3 linked regions of the Elephas maximus indicus genome follow. The protein of the gene in region 1 purifies or fractionates together with the protein of each later gene. This does not show direct contact. Links are inferred from orthologs where the notes say so. Each region holds a gene or a part of one and is shown on either strand. Other genes may lie near its edges.

Evidence for each region. The genes of interacting proteins can lie anywhere in the genome.
Region 2: the proteins of POLR3D (region 1) and POLR1C purify together in Homo sapiens (affinity purification with mass spectrometry; 6 studies listed by BioGRID and IntAct, counting the BioPlex papers as one, with this or other methods). This does not show direct contact. The link is inferred for Elephas maximus indicus from reciprocal best matches to the Homo sapiens genes POLR3D and POLR1C.
Region 3: the proteins of POLR3D (region 1) and POLR2E purify together in Homo sapiens (affinity purification with mass spectrometry; 6 studies listed by BioGRID and IntAct, counting the BioPlex papers as one, with this or other methods). This does not show direct contact. The link is inferred for Elephas maximus indicus from reciprocal best matches to the Homo sapiens genes POLR3D and POLR2E.

Annotation. Positions count from the first base shown.
Region 1 is NC_064840.1:52,465,621-52,473,459, forward strand, and holds the start of POLR3D (DNA-directed RNA polymerase III subunit RPC4), read right to left. Parts: upstream 3,013-7,839; 5' UTR 2,804-3,012; exon of another isoform or gene 2,765-2,803; intron 2,625-2,764; 5' UTR 2,620-2,624; coding exon 2,455-2,619; intron 1,190-2,454; coding exon 1,146-1,189; intron 499-1,145; coding exon 347-498; intron 210-346; coding exon 85-209; intron 1-84. UniProt on the Homo sapiens protein: DNA-dependent RNA polymerase catalyzes the transcription of DNA into RNA using the four ribonucleoside triphosphates as substrates.
Region 2 is NC_064819.1:107,947,613-107,955,006, reverse strand, and holds the start of POLR1C (DNA-directed RNA polymerases I and III subunit RPAC1), read right to left. Parts: upstream 3,005-7,394; 5' UTR 2,840-3,004; coding exon 2,771-2,839; intron 2,673-2,770; coding exon 2,601-2,672; intron 1,356-2,600; exon of another isoform or gene 1,006-1,355; coding exon 898-1,005; exon of another isoform or gene 673-897; coding exon 537-672; exon of another isoform or gene 252-536; coding exon 132-251; exon of another isoform or gene 35-131; coding exon 1-34. Other genes in the region: protein YIPF3, read left to right, coding at 3,142-3,222, 3,867-4,064, 4,261-4,367, 5,728-5,773, 5,910-6,002, 6,147-6,278, 6,486-6,599, 6,796-6,919 and 1 more. UniProt on the Homo sapiens protein: DNA-dependent RNA polymerase catalyzes the transcription of DNA into RNA using the four ribonucleoside triphosphates as substrates.
Region 3 is NC_064821.1:806,766-814,093, reverse strand, and holds the start of POLR2E (DNA-directed RNA polymerases I, II, and III subunit RPABC1), read left to right. Parts: upstream 1-4,324; 5' UTR 4,325-4,445; coding exon 4,446-4,502; intron 4,503-6,325; coding exon 6,326-6,500; intron 6,501-7,328. UniProt on the Homo sapiens protein: DNA-dependent RNA polymerase catalyzes the transcription of DNA into RNA using the four ribonucleoside triphosphates as substrates.

The sequences.
Region 1 (7,839 bases):
CTCTTCCTCCCCTAATGTTAGCTCCCCAAAAGCCCTTTCCCACAGCCACACCATAGCCCCTCCTCCCCAGACCTTGGTACCCACATCATCCTTCTCCAGCATGCGCAGGATCTGTTTTGTTTCTTCATCCGTCTCCCTCTTCTCTTTTTTGATGTTGATGATATGAGAGGGCCCCATGTCTGATATATCCACTGTCTTATCCCAGTTCCCTATGGAAAATCACCCAAGTCACTACGGATAAGGAAGAGACCGACACCAAAAGTAAACCGAGAGCAGGGAAATTTCTCTCAGGTAGTCTAAACCAAAATCCACTGCTATTCCTCTCAGAGCCCCAGCAGCCTTGTACCTTTTTTCTTCATCATTTCAGCTGGGCCCTGCTCAAAGATGGAGTGGGACTGGATAACTTCTGGGCGACCCCGGCCACGTCCATGTCCTTCTCGCTGTCGATCTCTATCCCTTTCACGCTTCTCCTTCTTGACAGTTACTTCTTCCTTAGGCCTGGAAAAGAGAATGGACTAAGGGAAATCACTCATTCACCTTGCCTCAGAGAACTTATCTTACTCTCCCACGCCACTCTATTCCAACTAAGCAGAGTTTATAAGCCAGCAGTTACATCATGAGGAGAAGCAGAAGTTATCCCTAGGTCTAGCATCTTTTTCACTTCCTTAATGGGGCAGGGTAATTTCAATTTGCTTTACTTTACCTTTTTAAGAGTATATGTCAGAACTATAACTCAAATGCTGAACTACAGAAACTCCCCAAATATGTATTTTTTTTTTTTTTTTTTTTTTTTTGAGCTGACTGAAAACAAGGTGGCTGTAATACATATGAACGTTAAGGGAAAACACTACGTCTCTGTGTAAACTAGCAGCTCTCAACTCTGGCCGTGTAAGAGAAACATTCCATTTCACTGAGAAAGCTAAATTACAATTCTAGGGATTGGGTACCAGGCATCAATATTTTTTTAAAGCTTGCATACCTGAATCACCTGGAAGCTAAGCTTGAAAGTCACTAATGAAAATAACTAAATACACAAGTTTAATTTTCTGAGCCACCTACTTTTGTGTGTCCCAAACATACAAAGTAAAGCTCCAAATTCAGAGCATGTAAATGAGGGGCAGGTATTCAGAGGCCCAGCTACTTACTCTTCCTTGATCTTCCGACTGATGATGTTTGGGGTAAAGGTTTTCTGAAAGTAAAATACAGGAGTCACTGATTGGTTAAGTTCTAACCCCAAAATACAGAGGAAAATGAAAACTCGCAAAGGGCATCTTCTAAGGACCAAGCTCATCCTAGCTCTCTTCCACACATCTGACACTGTTGTCAGAGATTAGAGGTAGACATGGACCCAAAGAGCAACATCATACCGCGGTAGCAGTGAGTTATACAAAGCAGATCGGGACAGCAAAAACCATTTTAACTAGCAGCCTCAGCTTCTGCCCTCTGAAAAGTTCTAAAAGCTAAAGAATGTATCTCATCTCATCTCTTGTCTTCGAACTACTCTAGAAACCAGTCAACATCAGAGGAAAGCTGCTCTAACAGCAAGGCTCAATAGGAGATCTGCTCACACTCAGAGGATACAGTTAAGACTGTCACCCGAATTTCCCAAGACAAAAAGTTCTAAAAAACTGGCTGCTTTATGTTTCTTTTTTTTTCCCCTCCTCTTCAGGGCTACCCTTTACATCTATAGGCATAAATATAACATGAGGGAACTCAGAGCCTCTAATGCTATGCCTTGATTCATTACAGGACAGATCAGAAGTTGCATACCCAGATACATGGAGAATTCCTAACCCCCTAAAATTGCAGACACACATTTATGCCTGCCTGGCTTTCTTGGGTTTCTCAAAGGTGTTTCAAACACAAAGTAAAGAAACACTGCTCAAATTGCTTTTGAGTCTTGGACTCATTAGGATTCTCTGTGAGGTGCCCTGGTGGTGCAGTGGTTAAGTACTCGGCTGCTAACCAAAAGTAGAAAGGTGGGTGGTTTGAACCTACTAGCTGCTCCATGGGAGAAAGATGTGGCAGTCTGCTTCCATAAAGATTTACAGTCTTGGAGACCCTATGGGGCAGTACTCTGTCCTACAGAGTGGGCTATGAGTCGGAATGGATTCCATAGCAATGCGATTGGTTTTGTTTTGGTCCTTCAGTCACCTCTGGGAACCATCCCAACATCTCGTACCCAACACTAGACGTGAAAGTTCAACAAGATCCCCAGAATTTAGAGAGGCGTAGGCAGAAGTCTCAGCACAAGATTCATGGGGGGCTAGACACCACGCCTGGCACAGTGTAGGCCCCACATCAGTATTAGCTGCATCCCAACCCACTGCCGTCGGGTGAATTCCGACTCATGGACACTCTATAAGACAGTTTAGAACTGCCCCACACCAGGGTTTCCAGCTGAATCCCAGGAACCTGGAATTCAAGGTACTTGGGTCTCTTTAGCAAGGCTACCTTCTTCACTCCCCCGAGGGTGAGGTCCCTGGAGCGGACAGAGGGAAGGCGGCCCGCGGTGACAGAGGGCGCTGGCCGCCTCCCGATAAGCCCCCGGGGTCCAGAGAGAAGGGGTCGGGGCCCTCCGGGGATACTGGGCTCGCCCGCAGCATTTCCTTCCGACATACTGCCTGGGAGAGAATGAGAAAAAGGGCAACAAAGTCACCCGAGGGTGCGGACACGCGAACTCTAGGCGTAACCCAACCACGTGGCCTGCCGCCCCCCAGACAGTGTGTCCTTCCTCGTGAGTCTCAGCTCCTCCCCCTCTCACGTGGCAAGACTCCCTGGACCACCCGGTTTGAGGTTTTACTCGCGACCCCGGTCCGCTGCCCTTCGCCCTCTCCCCAAGCTCTCCAGCCAAGCACGAGGCAGGGACGCACTCCAGAGCACCCGGAGCACCCGGGCTGCGGCTCTACACCACGCGCGTCACGACTTCACCTCCGACACGAGCCGCGGCTGGCACTCAGTCTCCGCGCTAGGCGGAAGTCTGCGTGGCAGGGCCCGGGCGCCGCCATTTTGCCGCGGGGCGGAAGTGAGGTCCGGTGGGCGGGGCCGGGGCACAGTATTTATCAAGCGGCACCTCGCTCCCCTCCGCCTTCTCTTCCCGGTTCTTCCCGGAGTCGGGAAAAGCTGGGTTGAGAGGGCGAAAAAGGATGAGAGGACGGGTCTGGGTTACAGTAAGATGTTGTGCTCAGGGGTCTGGCCCGGGACCGGACGTGGGGACGCCGAGTTCAGGGTCTGGGGTCCTTGGCAGCCGCCACGCCACAACGTGAGGATTCGCCTCGGCGGAGCCTGTGGAACCAATGGGGTCGCAGCTCGGATGGGGCGCGGGGCAGAGAGCGAGACCCGGATTCACATTCGGGAAGCCCTGGGGCAGGGCCGAGCCGTGGCCGCGGCGGTTGCCGCTGTGGACTCCAGATGGTGACCTTGGAGTGGTCACTGTACCTCCAGGCAGTGGCTTCGCTCGCGTTTGCTGTCGCTCGGAGGCCCCTTTTTTGAACTGGTGGGGTCCTGGTGTGGGGCTGTCGGGGCAGCGCTGGAGCAGCTGCAGCGGACGAACCTGCTGGGCTCACGACTGTGCAGGTTCTTGTGTGCGCTCTTGGTTAAAGCCTGGAAGGTACCTGAAAAATGAAAAATTTTGCAGGAGAGGCGAAGTGAAATAACTTTTTTATTGTGACTTTGACGCTTGTAGTTTGACATAAAAAATGTCCTTTAATGTTACACTTTCCTCACTGTACAGCATATAAAACCATGTAACAACATTACGGAAAGTTTGGGGAAGGGAAAGTATTTGTTAGAATTCCACCATAACCAAAAAAAAAAAAAAAAAATTCTCTGCTGTGGAGTCGATTCCGGCTCAGCGACCCCACCATAGAGTGCTACTGTTAAAGTTTTGGTAATACAGTCCTGTATCCTTACCAGAACCTCTTGTACCACAATTTTGTATGCTTTTTCAAAGAACATTTCTTTTGCTGCATCCAAATGAGTAATTCTCTGTCGTGTGCTGTTATGGATTGAATTGTGTCTCCCCGAAATATATGTTGGAATCCTAATCGCTGTACCTGTGGATGTAATTCTGTCTGGAAATTAAGGTTTTCTTTGTTATGTTAATAAGACCATATCAATGTAGGGTGTGTCCTAAACCCAATCACTTCTGAGTTATAAAAAAGCAGAAGAGACACAGAAGCAAAGCAATGGATACCTCTAGATCACTGAGCAAGCAGGACTTGAAACTGAGACAGGAATTTACCACCACCACCACCCCCCCACCAGACTGGACAAAGAGCAGTGAATTTGGACTCCTAGCCTCCTACATTGTGACAAAAACAAATTTCTGTTCTTTAAATCCACCTACTTGTGGTATATGTTACAGCAGCACTAGGAAACAGACAGGTACATCGTGATTTATTTCCCTGTTGTTTGGACACTTAGATTTTTTTTTTTTTTTTTTTTTTTTCCCTCGGTTGTAAATAACTCTGCGGTGAACATCTGGTTCGTTTAATGTTTTTTTCTTCTTTTGGGTTATTCCCTTGGTCAGATGTCCAGAGCTGGAGTAACTGACCTAAAGAACATGTGCAGTTTTTTAAAGTGAACTTTATATTTTGAGATAATTATAGATATACTCACCGTTGTTAAAAAAAAAAATAGTGCAGAGTGATCCCAAGTACGGTTTACTGGAATTCCCCCAATAGTAATGTCTTACAAAATTATGGTACAATCTCACAACCAGAATAGTAACATTGATACCGTCAAGATATGCCCGTTTAATAGCCATGCCTACCTCTGTCCCTATCCTCACCCTCCCCTGACAAACACTGATTTGTTCTCCATTTCTATAATTTTGTTATCTTAAGAATGTTATATAAGTGAACTCGTACAGTATGTGACTCCTTGGGATAGCTTTTTTCACTCACCCTAATTCCCTAGAGATTTTCCAAGTTGTTGCATGTATCAATAATTCATTCTTTTTTATTGTTCCCTACCCATAGTATGTATGTACCACAGCTTAACCAGTCACCTTTTGAAGAATATCGGAGTTGTTTCCAGTTGTTCACTGTTATGTGTAAAGTTACTATGAACATTTGCGTATAGGTTTTGAGTAAGCATAGATTTTCATTTCTCTGGGATAAATGCTGCTGTTGAGTTGCCCCCAACTCATGATGACCCCATCCATAACAAAATGAAATGCCACCCAGTCCTGCACCATCCCCATGATCCGTTGCGGGTCAGAACTTGAGATCCATAGGGTTTTCATTGGCTGATTTTCAGAAGTAGATGACCATGCCTTTCTAGCCCCACTGAAATCTGTTCCGCATTGTAGTGACACACAAGCTTCCACTGACAGCATGGTGGCTGCACACGAGGCACATTGGCTGAGCAAGAATTCAACCACAGAACCACTAATGCCTCAGTCATATGACTTGTATGCTTAGTTTTATAACAAACTGCCAAACTTTTCCACAGTGGCGGTACATTTGATGGTTCCATGTTGCTAAATTGCTTTAAAAAAGGATTGTGCTGATAATGCATCACTACTAAATATATGCATACAAGAATATCTATATAACATATTTTTTAAAAAAACCATCGAGTTGATTCTTCTCCTAGCGACCCTAAAGAACAGAGTAGAGCTGCCCCATATGATTTCCAAGGAGCACCTGGTGGATTCTAACTGCTGACATTTTAGTTAGCAGTGTAGCACTTAACCACTACACCACCAGCGTTTCCGTATAATATATAAGAGTGCATATAACATAACTCGCCTGCCCCCTAGAGACCTGCTTTGCTTTCTCCAGAGAATACATTTGCAGGTTTTTGCCTTGGTAGGAGAGAAGCGTTTGCCTAACTTCATAGAGCTGGGAAGGGAATCTGGGGATCTGACTGCTTTTTAAGCAGACTTGCAACCCATCCTCCTCCGGCTAGTTCCCCTTTTCCTCACCTCCACTTCAAAAGGAACCTGGAGCTAACTGGTTATGAGCGCCTCAGTGAGTACTGGTTTGGCTCTTGGTGCCCTCATTACTGCCTTAGGAGTCAGTTTTCTTGGTCTCCTAAGTCTTTTACCACTCTTCCATCTGTTTTCAGTCTTCTCAAATTCTGTTGCCATTGTCATTTTATGAAATGCTATGATTTATATAAAAAATATTGTATTTTTGGTGAACATACACACTGCAAAATAGGTTCCCATTCAACAATTTCCACACATACTGTTCATTGACATTGGTTAGATTTTTTGCATTGTGTCAACATTATTATTTCCATTCTAGTTGTTCCATTCCCATGAACCTTCTCTCACAGCCCCTAAACCTTCTCATCCATATTTTAACCATTGTCCATTGACAGGAGCCATGGTGGTGCAGCGGTTAAGCGCTTGACTGCTAACCTAAAGGTCAGCAATTCAAACCCACAAGCTGCTCTGCAGGAGAAAGATGTGGCAGTCTGCTTCTGTAAAGATTTATAACCTTGGAAAGCCTACAGGACAGTTCTACTGTGTCCTGTAGGGTCACTATGAGTTAGAATCAACTCTGTGGCAATGGGTTTAGTTTTGCTTGCTTTGGTTGTCCATTTGGGCACATATAGTTAATTTTTTAAAAGAGCTCAGTACTCGATTGACATTTTTTGTTTTGAGTTAACCTGCTATTTAGTTAAAAGGTAACTTCAGGATATACTTTCTGTTCAGAGTTTAAAGAGTATCTCAGGACAATGGTCCCTTGGATTCCTCCAGTCTCATAAGTATGCGTTCCTGGGGAATTTGAAGTTTTGTTCCACATTTTTCTCCCTTTCTATTAGGATTCATCTACTGTGTTGCTAATCGGGACTTCAGTATCCAAGAGCCATCTAGCTCTTCCGGTGTCAAAGTAGAGGAGACTGTGGTTTATGGAGAAAATTAGTCCTGTAGACCAGTTCCTTCTCTGATTCTTGGGTTTCCTTCTTTCTCTTTTGCTCCAAATGAATAGAGACCAATAGGTGTATTGTAGATGGCTGCTCACAAGCTTTTGAGACCCCAGAGGCTACTTGCCAAACTGATGTATTGGATTTTACTTTAACTTAACATGGGGGTGGAAAAGTGGGAGAGAAGATGGATAAAGAGTCAGTAATTATAAAGTATGAGTTAGTAAATATATGGTTGTTTTTAATAGTACTGTTTCTATCTTTTTACATGTCTGAAAATTTTCATAATAAAAATATTTTTAAAAAAGAGTACCTATAATGTTTGTCCATATCCTTTTCAGTATTGGCTCTTAAAATTTTAGACATGTTTTTGCCAATTTAATACTATATTAGTATTGTATTCTGTTGGTGCCTAACCAGATTTTTTTCAACTTGTCTTCTCCATATCGGTTTCATGATAACCAAATAAAATCCCTACACACAGAATTCCTTAGCTTCTGACTGAAGCGCTAGATGAAATTTATTTGATTTGATTCTCTGGGCTTTAATGTCCACCAACCTTTTACCAAAAAACAAACAAACCCGTTGTTGTAGAGTCAATTCTGACTCATAGCGACCCTGCAGGACAGAGTAGAACTGCTCCATAGGGTTTCCAAGGAGCGGCTGGGGGATTCAAACTGCTGACCTTTTGGTTAGCAGCTGAGCTGTTAACGGCTGCACCACCAGGGCTCCACCAGCCTTTTGGCAGCTCCTAATTTTTTTGTTTTGTGTTAAAAGATATTTGTTCGTTGTAGAAAATTTAGAAGATTTTAAAAAGCACTCAGAAGGAAATGAAAATCATCTATTATTATCACATCAATTTTTATATGTATTTGATGTTGGTTTTTCTATGCATATAGGTTTTTAAAATTAAGGTATTTTTACATATGGTGCTATATCCTGCTTTTTCTCTCTTAA
Region 2 (7,394 bases), on another chromosome or scaffold:
CCCAGGGGCACCCATGTCATGTGCCTGGTGTACACTAGAGAATGAAGCATGTCAGAAGACTTCAGCCCCTAAAGCCATACTCCTCGTACCCGCAACAGGCAGGCTCTCTTCCGCACATTACCACCGCTCACCTTTGTGGTTCACATAGAGTTCACTGGGATCAGAGGAATCTTTAGAAGCGTGGGGGTTCCGAGTGCACCTGACTTGTAGCCGAAACTGCAGAGTGTCTATCTCTGTGCCTTCTTCATCTTCTGCGTAAATGCAAGAGAAAGAGATTAACTCTTAGAAAACTAGTGACCATTTGAGTGTCAGGCACTATGCTGAGGGCTTTACATACACTTTTCATTTAATCCTCTCGACAAACTCATGAAACAGGTATTATCTTCATTTCACAGGTGGAAAACACTGATGTACTAAAAGATTAACTTTTCCAAGATCAAATGCAGGTTTTGAACTCAGGCAGTCTGACTCCAGAATCTTACTTTAGAGGAAAGCTGCCCTCCTTTTCCCAAAATTTTATTTTCCCAAACCCTTACCTTGATTCCGATACTCAAAAAGACGAGGATCTGCATGAATGGGAATGAGTCCCAGCCGGTGAGCAAGGATCTCATCCTGGACTATGGATGTGTTGTTGTACACCAGAACCTTTTCCACAGCCATGGTTGGCACCTGCTCAAGGAAACAATCACCAATCACCCATCTGCAAAGACCCAGTAGGCTCTTCACTCCCACCCTGTGACAGGGAGAGCTCTTCCTAGAAAAATGCTTGATAAAGAGATAAGAAGAATGACCAGAAGGAATGCTCAGCAAATTTGCAGGAAAAACAAGGGTGGGAGGGTCACTTTGAGATCCTCAGCAAGCTTCCCCATACAACCTTGCCGCTACATCCATTGATACCTCAGCTAATAGAATGCGTCGAAAAGCATTGGCGATGGCTGCATCAATTCCCACCATGTCGAACTCCAATGAGTTTTCATCCATGTGTACCACATCCACACGGAAATTCTGGAGGGACAGGAAAAAACACTGAGGCCTGGTCTCTATGCTCCCCCCTCCCTAGATATTTCCCTTAATGTTTTTTTTAACATCCTCTAAAATCCAAAAACCTCCTCCATGCCCAGATGTCCCTTTCTCCCCCAATCCTTTCATAGTTGAAAAGTTTCTCTGTTTTTGTCTTCCGTTCATTCAAAACCTCTGTAATCTGCCTCCAGCCAAACCATCTCACGGAGGCCGTTCTATTAAAGAACAGAAGCTTCCATATTACTTAGGGCAAGTAATACTACTCAGTCCTTACCTTGCTGGAATCCTCTACTACATGTGGAATTTTTTAATAAAATCCTTCCTTTTTAAAATTCTACTAGTCCCTTGGTTTCTGAGCACCAATCTTCTAGTTATCTTACGATTTTTTCTAAATTCACTATTTTTCCACCCATCCCCTAAATATTACTACTTCCCAAGTTCCTGTCTCTCACTTGGGTGACCTCAACCACACAATTTTAGCAACTCATCTGTACACTCACAACTCCAAAAATTATGTATCATTTCTGATCTCATTTCAAACATGTTCTACTAGCCTGCTAGACTGCTCTGCCTGCAGAAAATTGAATACATCGTCATTCCTCTTCCTCAGATCTATTCCTCCTTATCAAACAATAACATCACCATCCATCAAAGTTCCCTAAGCCAGGTTATTTTACACTTGGTCCTCACAAACAAAAAAACACCAAACCCACTGCTGTCATGAGTCAATTCCGACTCACAGCAACCCTATAGGACAGAGTAGAACTGCCCCATAGAGTATCCAAGGAGCGCCTGGTGGATTCGAACTGTTAGCAGCCCCAGCACTTAACCACTACACTACCAGGGTTCCCTTGCCCCTCACAGCCCACATCAAATCAATCACCACTTTGACCCTCTATTCCCCTCTTTGTTCAATTTCTGCAATCATAATCTTAGTTCATTCTCTCCCAGCCATCAGGGTTATGAATCTTACCAAGTCTGCTTAAAAACTCTTCAAAAGTTACCTGTCACCTACAGTGCCTACAACGAATTCCAATCTTGCCTACCACTCCTGCTGGTCCATTTTACATTCTAGCAATACTGAACTGTTTGAACATTCCAGGAGTACACCTCACGCCTTTATAATTTAGTTCATATTCTTAGTTCCTTCACACTTAGCTGTTCACAACTTGTTCAAGGCCCAATTTAGATGTTATCTCCTTCAGGAAATTTTCCTAACCCTCCCCCCGCCCCCATGCACACCCTGTGTCTATATTGCTATCAACCGCCTTACAAAGTTAGACAGGAATCATTTGTTTACGCGAAATGATTCCCCAACAAGAATCACAGAACAGGGCAGAAACTGTGTCTAATTCGGCCTACTACACGCAAGCGCCTAGCACATCGCTGGGATGGGAACGGGGCTCAATAAACGTCTGATGAATAAAGGTAGCCTTAAGGGCAGCTTCTGAGGCACAGGCTGTTCAGATCACAAGGTCCGGCCACACACACCCTCTCCAGACACCTCCGTCCGTACCCACCTTACCCTACCCTAATCGCTTCCCCTCCCAGTACTTCCAATCCTCCAACTCCTCCTTCACCTTCTCGAAGCGCTCCTGGTCCCAGGCATCGTCATAACCGGAATAGTTACCGGGGAAGTCGGTGGTATGAACCTAAAGAGCAAGAGAGACGAGTCTGTCGCCACTCCGACTCCAACTCATTCCTGTTTCGCTCTCCTTCTCTCTCCGGAGTTCAAGACCACAAGACTTACATTGCGAACCCCGAACTCCCCAAGAACCACGCGGTCCCGCATTTCTTCCACTGCCTGGGCCGCCGCCATCTTCAACCGACCCACGTGGCTAGAGCGTCAAACTGGCGAGCGCGAGCTAGTCCTACCGTCTCCTCGGCAACGAACGCTCGCCTGGAGGCTTAAGTATCGCGAGGGTTTGCCCCGCCTCCTCCCACGTCCCAAACTTCCGGAAGTCAGTTTGAGCCAAACATCCGGGTTTTTCGTTTTTGGGTTCCGGCTGATTCCATCTCTCCTTCTTGCCCGTGGACATCTCCCTCCCTCAGGCCCACGTCTCGCCCACTTCTCCGCGCGCGGGGTAGCGCGGGCTTCAGCGACGGGAGCCCTCGAGGGACATGGCAGCTGCGGCGGCGCCGGCCGGCGGCGCCCGAAACGGGGCTGGCCCGGAGTGGGGAGGATTTGAAGAAAACATCCAGGTAATGGCCCCAAGGCTCCGGCTGCCCCCAAGGCTGGCGACCGTCCTGAAGTGTCTTGGGAACTTTCTCGGGGCCTAGAAGTCCGTCCCTAACCTCCGTACCGTCTGCTCTAGTTGCAACAGTTCTTCACTGTTTTGGGTCTCAGTGCAAACCAAGTCGGTGGGGTTAGTGCTGACCTGAAAGGCCAGATACTCCGGCTGGAGGGCCACAGGTCTCTGGGCCTTCCCGAGGCGTTAGAAAGAGCGTGCTTTTGCTTTAGGGGCAAGTTGGGAGGTTGGCCGGGGTCAGGCATGACGGGGGAAGGGGTAATAACTGGCACTGGCTGAAAACACTGTGCACAGACATGCCTTCGCCTTGTGAAAGACAAAGGAAATGGGTGCTTTTGCTGCCCTTTGATAGTTTGATAGGGAAGATAGGAGAAATACATGAGTGGAAGACAGGTTTCCCAGGCTCGAAAAGAGGGCAAAAGCCAGGATCCAAAGGTTCTGAGAGCAGATGAGTGGGAAGAGATTGGCAGGATCTTTGGTGATTCCCACCCATACCCCAGCAGTGGAAGAACAAAACTCAAACCCTAGGGTGAGCAGAGGAGTACTTAACCGACGGATCAGAAAATTCCAGCACTCCAGGAGCCATTGTTTTCACAGGGTGGGGGCTCAGCTGTGATTGACATGGAGAACATGGATGATACCTCAGGTTCCAGCTTTGAGGATATGGGTGAGCTGCATCAGCGCCTGCGTGAGGAAGAAGTAGACGCTGATGCAGCTGCTGCTGAAGAAGAGGATGGGGAGTTCCTGGGCATGAAGGGCTTTAAGGGACAGCTGAGCAGGCAGGTGGCTGATCAGGTAAGCAAGGCTGGATCCCTGGCATGGGGAAAAGTATATCTAGGCAGGTCCCAGGTTCTGGAGTTGGTGTTGGTGAAGCTCACTCCAAGTTATCCAGTTAGAACCATGTAGAAATCCAACAGAAAAATAGGGAACAGTCCCCAGAGCCAAGAGGCTCACAATACCCAACCTCCCACCCCCATCTTCCTTGCTTCAGATGTGGCAGGCGGGAAAGAGACAAGCCTCCAGGGCCTTCAGCTTGTACGCCAACATTGACATCTTAAGACCCTACTTTGATGTGGAGCCTGCCCAGGTGCGAAGCAGGTGAGGATCCTTCTCCTGACAGAAACTGCCCTCCTAACACCTAGTCCTTCATCCAGCCAACAACCAGATATCAAGCCCTCAGGACCCCCGCTCTTCATGACCCCACCACCCCTCATCGCACCTTGTACCCCAGACACACCATAACTCTCACCACCCACTGAACACGACATGGCGCTAAACACATTGGCTTCCTTCACTTCTCCATGAGCAGATTCATTTTCCCTCAAAACCTAACTCAAATGTCACTTCTTTGTTCACCATTCCTCATTTCCATCCCCCATTTGTCCTCTCCCAATGTTCCTATAAAAAAAAAAAATTATAGAACTCTGTTTTTCTCTAGTAGATAACACTTCAGCACTGCTGTACTTTCTCATTCCTGGGTCTGTCTCCGCAGACCAACAGCTCTTTGAGAGCAGACTCTTGTTTATCTTTTTTTCCCGGCACCAGAACAGCCTGAACCAGAGTGTCAGTGCATAGTTGCTGAATGACTGTTCAAGAAACAGATTTAATCTTGGCTTGGTTCTTTGTTCCTTAGTTTAACTAATGTTTGTCAAAAAATAGTACCACTTAAATATTTATTGATCATACTTCTTTATTAAGTACAGTACTATTCTTGTTGTGTCTGATTCAGTGGTGAAGACAGATGGGAGCCTTGCCCTGGTGTGCAGTTACAAGACAGCACTCTTATGCTATGGTGGAGACACACAGGAAGAACTCCTGACCCAGGGTGGGCTGGGGAATGGGACAGGCCAGGTATCCCAGAGGAGGTAAAATTTAGCCAAAATCAAAGGTATTATTAGGAGCTGGTCACTTAAGAAGAAAGCGGGGACATGACTTGTACTTTTATTTTTTCTGTCTGGAATTTTCATAGCACTTCAGATAGATTTTTCAAGAAAATACCCAGTGGTGCCTAGAGGAATGGTAAGCAGGAAGAGGCAGGGGGCACTGTTTCCCTTAGGGACACCTTCTGAATCTTGCCCAGGGCCTCACCATCACAACCCTGAATGCTGGGTATTATGCTCTGCTGAGGTTTGCTTGTTTTTTAAAGAGGAGCAGGTCAAATAGGTTCATCGTCAGGTCTTCCCCCAGGACCCAGCTAGAGTCTCTGAATTCTGTATTGGTGCTGCTTCAGTCAGCACAGTGTCAGAGGAATGTTCTCCCTGGAAGTATTTCTAGGGGGAAGGAAGTCATTTCCCCATCCCCTGTCTCTTTACTGCCCTGTTCTCCCTGAATCATCTAGCATGTCCCCTGGGCGAGTTTCCTTTACCCTGGGATTAGAGAGATGAGTAAGACTCATGCCTTGACCTCCAAAACCTCACAGCTTAGTGCTACCTCTGCTCTTATCTCTCCTCTCTCTCAGGCTCCTGGAGTCCATGATCCCTATCAAGATGGTCAACTTCCCACAGGTGAATAGTGGGTGGCATGTCTGGAGAGCGAGGGGAGGCACCAGGGCAGAGGGTGGGGCCACCAGGCAAAGCCTGGGGAGGCATGAACAGAAAAGCCATGGTACCCTTCATGCTGAATGAGTTGGTATATTGACAGAAAATTGCAGGTGAGCTGTATGGACCTCTCATGCTGGTCTTCACGCTGGTTGCCATCCTCCTCCATGGGATGAAGACATCTGACACCATTATCGTAAGCAAAACAGAGGACATTGGGGGGTGGCTTAACTGGGTTGGAAGCTGCCCAAGGAGAGGATGGTAAAGTGAAGTGAAGGAGCAGTCCTTGAGGAAGGCCCTCAGAGGCCTTTCAGGGCTAAGCAGAGCCTTCGCCCCACAGCGGGAGGGCACCCTGATGGGCACAGCCATTGGTACCTGCTTCGGCTACTGGCTGGGCGTGTCGTCCTTCATTTACTTCCTCGCCTACCTGTGCAATGCTCAGATCACCATGCTCCAGATGCTGGCACTGCTGGTAAGGAGCCAGGCATGGTGGTGGGCAAGGGTAATCTTAAGAGAGTAGTCAGGCCTTGGTCTGCATGTGTCCTGGTTCCACAGGACCCCACCCAGGGCCTGGAATGGGAAGAACTGGCCACTGGACCCTTTATTACCCAGGGTCCCCATGAAGGCCAGAGACCAGCCCAGCCTGAGTGATTTTCCTTTCCACCATCCTCCTTCCTAGGGCTATGGCCTCTTTGGGCACTGTATTGTCCTATTCATCACCTACAACATCCACCTTCATGCCCTCTTCTACCTATTCTGGCTGCTGGTGGGTGGGCTGTCCACCCTGCGCATGGTAAGCTGGGAATGGGGTTTTCAGGAGTGGGCTGTTCTCTCAGGGATTTGGGAAGAACAGCCTAGAGCTGAGGTAGAACCCCATGAAGGGTTCTGAATGGGCTGGAAAAGTCCAAGATGGTTCTGCCTTGGGTAGGGTGTCTTCTCCCCATCCCTCGCTGGATCCAGGCCTCTGAGCTGTCTTCCTGTGGGCCTAGGTGGCAGTGTTGGTGTCACGGACTGTGGGCCCCACGCAGCGACTACTCCTTTGTGGCACCCTGGCTGCCCTGCACATGCTCTTCCTGCTCTATCTGCATTTTGCCTACCACAAGGTGGTAGAGGGTAAGTGACGGGAGGGCCAGGGTAGGGGTGGCTGTGGGTGCAAACAGCTGCCAGGGTTGGGGGGCTGGATGAGATAGCCTGTGGGCTGGTCCCAGCCAACTCCTGCTTATCTTCCATCACCCTTCTTTCAGGGATTCTGGACACACTGGAGGGCCCCAACATCCCGCCCATGCAGAGAGTCCCCAGAGACATCCCTGTTGTGCTCCCTGCTGCTAGACTTCCTGCCGCCATGCTCAACGCCACAGCCAAGGCTGTTGCGGTGACCCTGCAGTCACACTGACCTCACCTGAAATCCCTGGCCGGGCCCCTTCCCCCTGGCTGCAGAGCAGAGGAAGATTAAAGGACAATACTGATGGCATGTGTCTCTTTGATGGGGTCTCCAGCTGCCACAGAGCTGTAGCTGCTTAAGCACCTCCTTGCTGCCTGCCAGGGCTTGTGATAGGGCACAAGGCTGGGAACTCCTGGCCAGGACTGC
Region 3 (7,328 bases), on another chromosome or scaffold:
ACCCAAGCCCTCTGGCTCACCCAGGGCTCCAGCAGTCCTCACCCCTCCCTGTGGATTTCTCCCTCCAGAGTGGAGTCCCTGGGTGGTGCAGTTAATGCACTCAGCCACTAACAGAAAGTTTGGGGGTTCGAGTCTACCCAGAGGTGCCTTGGAAGAAAGACATCTGAAAAATCAACCACTGAAAACCTGTGGAGCACAGTTGTTCTCTGACACACATGGGGTCACCATGACTCAGGGGCAACTCCACAGAAGCTTCTTTTTTTTTTTTTAACTGGGTCATCACCCCAGCACATAAAACTCTATTTCCCCCATCTTCACTCCTCCTGCTGCAGCATCACTCCCTGCTGTCCCCCTTTGTAGCCGTGTTTCCCCTTCCTGTCCTGGCAGAGTCCTATCCAGCCAGCCCCAGGGTCTGCTTTGGTCAGGGTCACAGGGCCACTCAGCCAAGCCCCACTTGCTCCATCTCAGGCCTCCAAGGGCTTGGCAGCTCAACAGCTGTCTTAGTCATCTATTGCTGCTATAACAGAAATACCACAAGTGAATGGCTTTAACAAAGAGAAATTTATTCTCTGACAGTCTAGGAGGCTAGAAGTCTGAATTCAGGGTGTCAACTCCAGGGGAAGTCTTTCTCTTTCTGTCGGCTCTGGAGAAAGGTCTTTGAGATCAGTCTTCCCTTGGCCTGGGAGCTTCTCAGCGCAGCAGCCCCCAGGGGCTCTCCTTGCTTGGTGGTGTGAGATCTCTCTGTGGCTCTGCTCTTCCCTCTTTTATATCTCAAAAGAGATTGACTCAGAATACGACCTTACCTTGTAGATTGGGTCCTGCCTCATTAACATAACAGCCTCTAATCCTGCCTCATTAACATCACAGACTTTAGGATTTACAACACATAGGATAATCACATCAGATCACAAAACCGTGGACAACCACACAACACTGAGAATCCTGGCCTATCCAAATTGACACACATTTTGGGGCCAGGGACATATGAAGGTCTCTCCCTCCTCCTGGAGACACCACCTTCCCCTGGCTCCAGGGCACCTGGCAACCTCCTCCCTTGTTTGCTTGTCTCCTTTATTTTATTTAATGAGCACTTAGGTAACTCAGGAGCCCTGGTGGCACAGTGGTTAAGAGCTCAGCTGCTAACCAAAAGGTTGGCAGTTCGAATCCACCAACTAGTCCTTGGAAACCTTATGGGACAGTTCTACTCTGTTCTATAGATTCGACTTGACGGTTGTGGATTCGGTTTTGGGTTGCTAACTCAGGTGATGCAGGTCTAAGCAGTCTGCAATTATCGGCCATTACCGCCCAATGAAAGCAGCCCTGTTGGTGCAAGCGTTAAGCGCTCGGCCGATAACTGAAAGATCAGCGGTTCGAACCCACCCAGGGACTCACTGGAGAAAGACCTGATGATCTACTTCCGTAAAGATTACAGCCTAACCTCTAGAGTACAGCCCCCCGGACACCCTTGTAACTCAGTACTGAAGCCACTCCCGAAATTCACCCTTCAGCCAAAGAGTAGACAGGTCTATAAAATAAACAATAATAACACACGCGAGGACCGTGCTTTGTAGTTTAATAATGTATACAAGACTAAAGGGTCCGCACAAGCCCAAAAGCGAAGGCAGGAAGGGACAGGAAAAGTAGACAAATGGAAACGGGGAACCTGGGGTGGAGAAGGGGGCAGTGTTGACACATTGAGGGGTTGGCAACCAATGTCACAAGACAATGTGTATTTATTGTTTAATGAGAAGCCTATTTGCTCTGTAAACTTTTACCTAAAGTACAAAAAAAAAAAAGCCTAGAAAACCTCACGTGGTGGCTATGAGTCAGAATCTACTGACAGCGCCTAACAACAACAGTTACCCGATGAAGTGGGTACTGTACCATGGGCCGAGGAGGGGTGCTGAGGCACAGGGAGGTGAAGCCACGGGCCTGAGAGCACACAGTCAAGTCGCAGTCCCAGAGGCTCCCGTGACTCTCATCCCTGACCCCTCCTTCTGTTCCATTCTCACACCCAGTGACCCTGCTCAGGCCACAGGGTCCTCCCCCTCAGCATTGCTGCCTTCCCTGGGGTGGGGGCCGTCCTGGGCACTGCAGCGTGTTGAGCAACATCCCTGGCCTCCACCCACTTGGTACCAGTAGCACCCCATTCAGTTGCGACAACAAATGTTCCCTGAGGTTGCCAAGTGTCCCCTGGGGGCAGAAACGCCCAGGATGAGAACCTCGACTCTGAACTCCCCTGCTCCCCGGTGCACACTCCGAGCCAGCCACACTCACCTCCTGGATGCCAACACACGAGGCCAGTCCTGCCTCAGGGGCTTTGCACGGGCTTTTAACCTCTGCCCGGTACACCCTCCCCCAGACACCTGCGTGGCTCCCTCCCTCTTCTCCTTCGAGTTTTTGCTTAAATCTCTCCTCCCTGCCTTCCCTGACCTCTGCCTTCAATGCTGCAAGCTTTCTCATCCGCCATCTCCTTTACCCTGGTCTGCTTTTTTCATAGCAGTATCAGCTTCAGACATATTTTATCATTCACATGTTATGTTCAGTGCTTGTGATCCTGTGTCCCCTGGAACATCAGGGACTCCTGGTCTGTTTTATTCACTATCTCTGTGTTTCTTGGGTCCCTGGGTGGTGCAGTCTGCACTTGGCTCCTAATCTAAAGGTTGGCAGTTTGCACCCACTCAGTGATACTGCAGAAGAAAGGCCTGGCCACCTGCTTCAGTAAAAGCTGAACCAAACCATTGCTGCTGAGTCGATTCCGACTCATAGCGACGCTATAGGACAGAGTAGAACTGCTCCATACGGAGACCTGGTGGTGCAGTGCTTAAAGAGTTTGGCTGCTAATCAGAAAGTTGCTAGTTTGAATCCATCTGCCACTCCTTGGAAACCCTGTGGTTGGACACGACAGCAGTATTTTTTTAATAGGATTTCCAAGGCCGTGATCTTTACGGAAGCAGACTGCCACATCTTTTTCCTGCACAGCTGCTGGTGAGTTCCGAATGACCTTTCTGTTAGCAGCTGGGTGCTTAACTACTGAGCCGCCGGGGCTCCTTTGGTAAAGGCCAAGAAAGCCCTGTTGAACAGTTCTCCTCTGTAACATGTGTGCTGCCAGGTGGAGACCCCAGGTTCTGCTTGGTGTGACTTGCTGCAGCCAATAAACAAGAGGCCAAGGTGGGAGATGAGAAAGATGCCTTTATTTCATTGCTCAAGGATAGGAGCCATGGGGGCTGCTGCCTCCAAGACTGCTCCCAGGCAGCTTGGGGAGGTGGGCTTTTATACAAAGCAGACAAGGAAATGCAAATTTATTATGAATATTCAGGATTGACCTTCACACAGGCGTTCAGAGTTTGGGGATGACTATGCATTTTCTCTAGACAGGGTTCCATTCTCCGGAATGGAGGAAGAGGTTGATTTTCTTCTACTAGGATGTTAAGTCTCCCCCCAGAGGCGGATTGAAGCCATCTATGGCCCGTTCTGTGGTTATCTTGTCAAGGACAGTTTCAGAATTTGCAGCTTATTCTGCTCGCTGTAGGACGATAAGCCAGAGCAGGTGTTTGTCTCTTAGATGGGTTGGGCTCTGAGGTTGTCTGCCTCACATGGGGCCACCTAGCCGGACCCAATTCTACACCAACAGGTTTCGGTGCTGTTTAGCGACTGAATGGAATGAATCGCTGAATAAGTTACTGATCACCTTCAGTGTGGCAGGCGCGGGGCTGGGCGAGCCTCCTTGATGAGCTCGGGGGCTTGATGTGGAGGTCTGTCAAGACCCACTAGGTCTGGGGGCCATGGGGCACCCAGGCGGAGGCCGGACCGAGAGCCAGGGGAGAGGGCCAGGTTGAAGCGGAGGTGGGAGGCTTTGCCAGGCTCTTCCCAAACACGACCATCTTTTTAGATCCTCACTTAACCCTCTAAAACAGGGGCATTTATTATTTCCATTATAAAGACGTGGAAACTGAGTCTCGGGCGGAGCCCTGGAGCCACCATGCGGAGAGGACCCCAGACACTTGGACGCACACATATTTGTGGAGCACTTTCTAGACTACCCGACTGTGCCCGAGAGCCTGGCAGGCCCCCGAGCCCGTCCGGGCCTCCGTTTCCCTATCTGTACCCGGCCTCTCCCTCGCGAGATTCTAAACAGCCGCCCGACAGCTGGGCGTTGAGCGGAAACTACAACTCCCGAGAGGCCTTGCGGCTCAAGCATCGCGAGAACTGCAGGCGGTGGTGGGCGGTGATATTTGCAAGTCTCTGTTAGGGAGCAGCCAAACACCGCTTTCGGAAGGTTCGGGCTGCCCTCGGACCTGCCGGTTCCAGAGGTCGGTGCTTTCAGGCGTTCGCTGAGGCCAGCCCTGCACGGAGTGGACTAGGGGTGGCTTAGCGCAGGCGCAGTGCGCGCGGGTCCTGACTGGCGCAGGCGCAGCGCGTCGACTCCGAGAAGCGAAGCAGCCATGGACGACGAGGAGGAGACGTACCGGCTGTGGAAGATCCGCAAGACCATCATGCAGGTGAGGAGCGCGGGGCGGGGGGATGCCCCTGTTTAGAGAATGGGGTCACGGCGGGCCTACCTGCGCCAGGTGAGCCGAGCGCGCAACGGTCTGGTGGTTCCTGGAGGTGGGAAGGAGCGTGGCGTCTCCCCCTCCCTCATCCCCTGTGGCTGGATCGGGGGGTCCCCAAGGCCACCCCAGACCCTCGTTGCTGGGTCTGCCCCAGGGGCGCTGCCTTATGTGCCCTGAGCTCAGCGGCGGGACACCTGCTTTGGGGCGGGCAGGGCGAGGGTCACAGTACGCCGAGGTTGGGGTCTTCCAGAGGACTGAGGGACCCCACAGACCAGCGGCCGAGGGGAGAAGCTGAGAGGTCCCGGGGGGGGGGTCGGGTGTGGGCGGGAGTTGGGGTTGGGGAGTGTGAAGGGCTAGAGAAGGAGGTGACAAGTGGCGACAAAGAACGGGGGCATTCTTGGAGGGCCCCTGCTCCGCCCCAGTCACGAGCTGCACTTTTTGTTGCTTTATCCTGAACCTGAGGGTCAGGGCGGGTTGTGATTGGGAAGCGGCGGCAGAGCTGGGGTTTGAGCTCGGGGGTGTTGAGTCCAGAGCCGGTGCCGTGAGGTCCGGAGCAGATGAAGACAGAGCTGGGAGGGGACGTCCTGGGCAGACCGTCCCTGAAGGCCAGTAATTGTGGATCTCACCCCAGAAATCAGGGCTATTTGAGCAGATGGTTCTAGAAAAGGACCTAGATGGAGAAAGGGAAGGTCAGGGCTGTGAGCTAGTCCTGATCTCCTCCCCGGTCCCTCTGTGAAGTTCCCCGGCAGCTTCATTCTCTCTCCTGAGTGCCTGCCCACACTAGGGTCTCAGCCTGAAGTCGCAGCTATTCTGGCCTCCGTCTTCAGGGTGGCTTTGCAAAGGGGTTGAGAGGCTGGGCTCATCTGCTCAGGTGTAGGCCTGGCAGGACTCCCAGGGGCCAGGTGGTCTTGGTCTAGATCCTTGCCTCCTGGGCCACAGTTGGAGGTTGCCAACAAGGCGCAAATCACAGACAGGCACTGGAACCACGCTTTACTCACACAGATGAGACAGCAGAGTCAGCTTCAGTTGTGGTCTCCAGTCTCCCATGGCCAGTGAGTCCCCTCATAGCCAGTACAGAGCACATGTCCGACACGCACTCCTCTTGTGCTGCAACTGAGAGACCCCGTTTCCTGTTCTCCAAGAACAGTTGGGTTGGCCAGGTGCTATAAGGAAATTCTGGTGGCGTGCGTAGTGGTTAAATGCTACCTTGGCAGTTCAAATCAACCAGGCACTCCTTGGAAACTCTATGAGGCAGTTCTACTCTGTCCTAGAGGGTCACTATGTGTCAGAATCAACTTGACAGCAATGGGTTTGGTTTTTTGTTTGTTTGTTTGCATGAACAGCAACAGAGAAAGTTAGAGTGTGCCCAGAACTGGGAGGGAGGCTCCCCTGATGAGGAAGAGAAACTGGGAGGGAGGGAGAGAGAGACCCAGTTACAGTCTCCGTATCAGGGAATGCTCTGGGCCCATGGCCTCTGCTTAAGCAGCCCAGGAAGCAGGCATGAAATCAGCCTGTCTCCCCACAGGGGCTCACACTGGTCCCAGCCCATGGGGTGGCCATGGGATTAGAGGGTGACCGTGTTCATCCACTTCGCTATGACTTCTCTGTCCTGTCTCCCTGACTGGCCTAAGGCTGGTGGCTGAGGTGTGCCCACCCTGTGTCCTCCACAGCCAGCATTTGAATCGCTGCGACCATGCCTGACACCAGGGTGTGTGCACTCAGGCATGCTGTGGCTCTCCTCACCCTGAGGTCCTGGGCCCTTCTCTCTGCAGTTGTGTCACGACCGTGGTTACCTGGTGACGCAGGACGAGCTGGACCAGACACTAGAGGAGTTCAAAGCCCAGTTTGGAGACAAACCGAGTGAAGGGCGGCCACGGCGCACGGACCTCACCGTGCTGGTGGCCCACAATGATGACCCCACTGACCAGATGTTCGTCTTCTTCCCAGGTGAGGGCCCTGGTGGGTGTACACAGCTTCCCATCCCTGAGGTTCCTGAGGGATCCCCAAAGGACCACGTTTCTGGTGGGGTTGTTGGAGCACCTACTTAGGTGCAGCTTCTAGCATCTGCCTGTGTGTGGCCCTCCAACCCGGACTGGGGAGAGAGCTCCCTGCCTCTCCACGCTGTGCTGTTGACCTCTGACCCCTCTGACAGTCTCTTCACGTACCCACCACCTGCTCCAGTTTCCCTCTGATCAGTCGCTTCTGTCTCCCTTGACTGTGTCCTTGTTGTGTCCTCCCAGCAGGACTCTCCCAGAGGCATCCCGCCTAGGCCCTTGCTCCCTCCTGTCTGTTCCCTCCTGACGGCTCTTTCCTGTCCTGCTGCCCACCTCCTGGGATGGCGTTCCAGCCTCCTGGCCTAGCAGCCAGGCTCCCTCCACATGAGCTCAGCTCCCTGCTTCCGCTCTTCCTGCACCTCTGAGTGCCCCCCCCTTTCCCAGCAGAACTCAGCTCCCCTCCTCCTGTGTGCCCACCACACCAGCTGTCTGCATCCTAGTTCTGGGGTGACAGTATACGGGGACCCTCAGCAGCACTGTGGGTCTCAGGCTTCTGCCCTCAGTCTAGCCGAGCAGTGGAGGCCAGTGTCAGAGACATTGAGTCTGACCTTTGGGAGGCACCCTGGCTCTGCCCTGGACAGCCACCTGGTGCCAGAGAGAGAAGGAGCTCTGCCTTCCAGAGCATCGAAGGCGCCTTTGGTCCCAGAAGCCTCTGCGATGAGCCAGGAAGGACAAGAATTCACCCCACACCTTCCCCAGGCCCTGTTTCTAGTCACCGAGT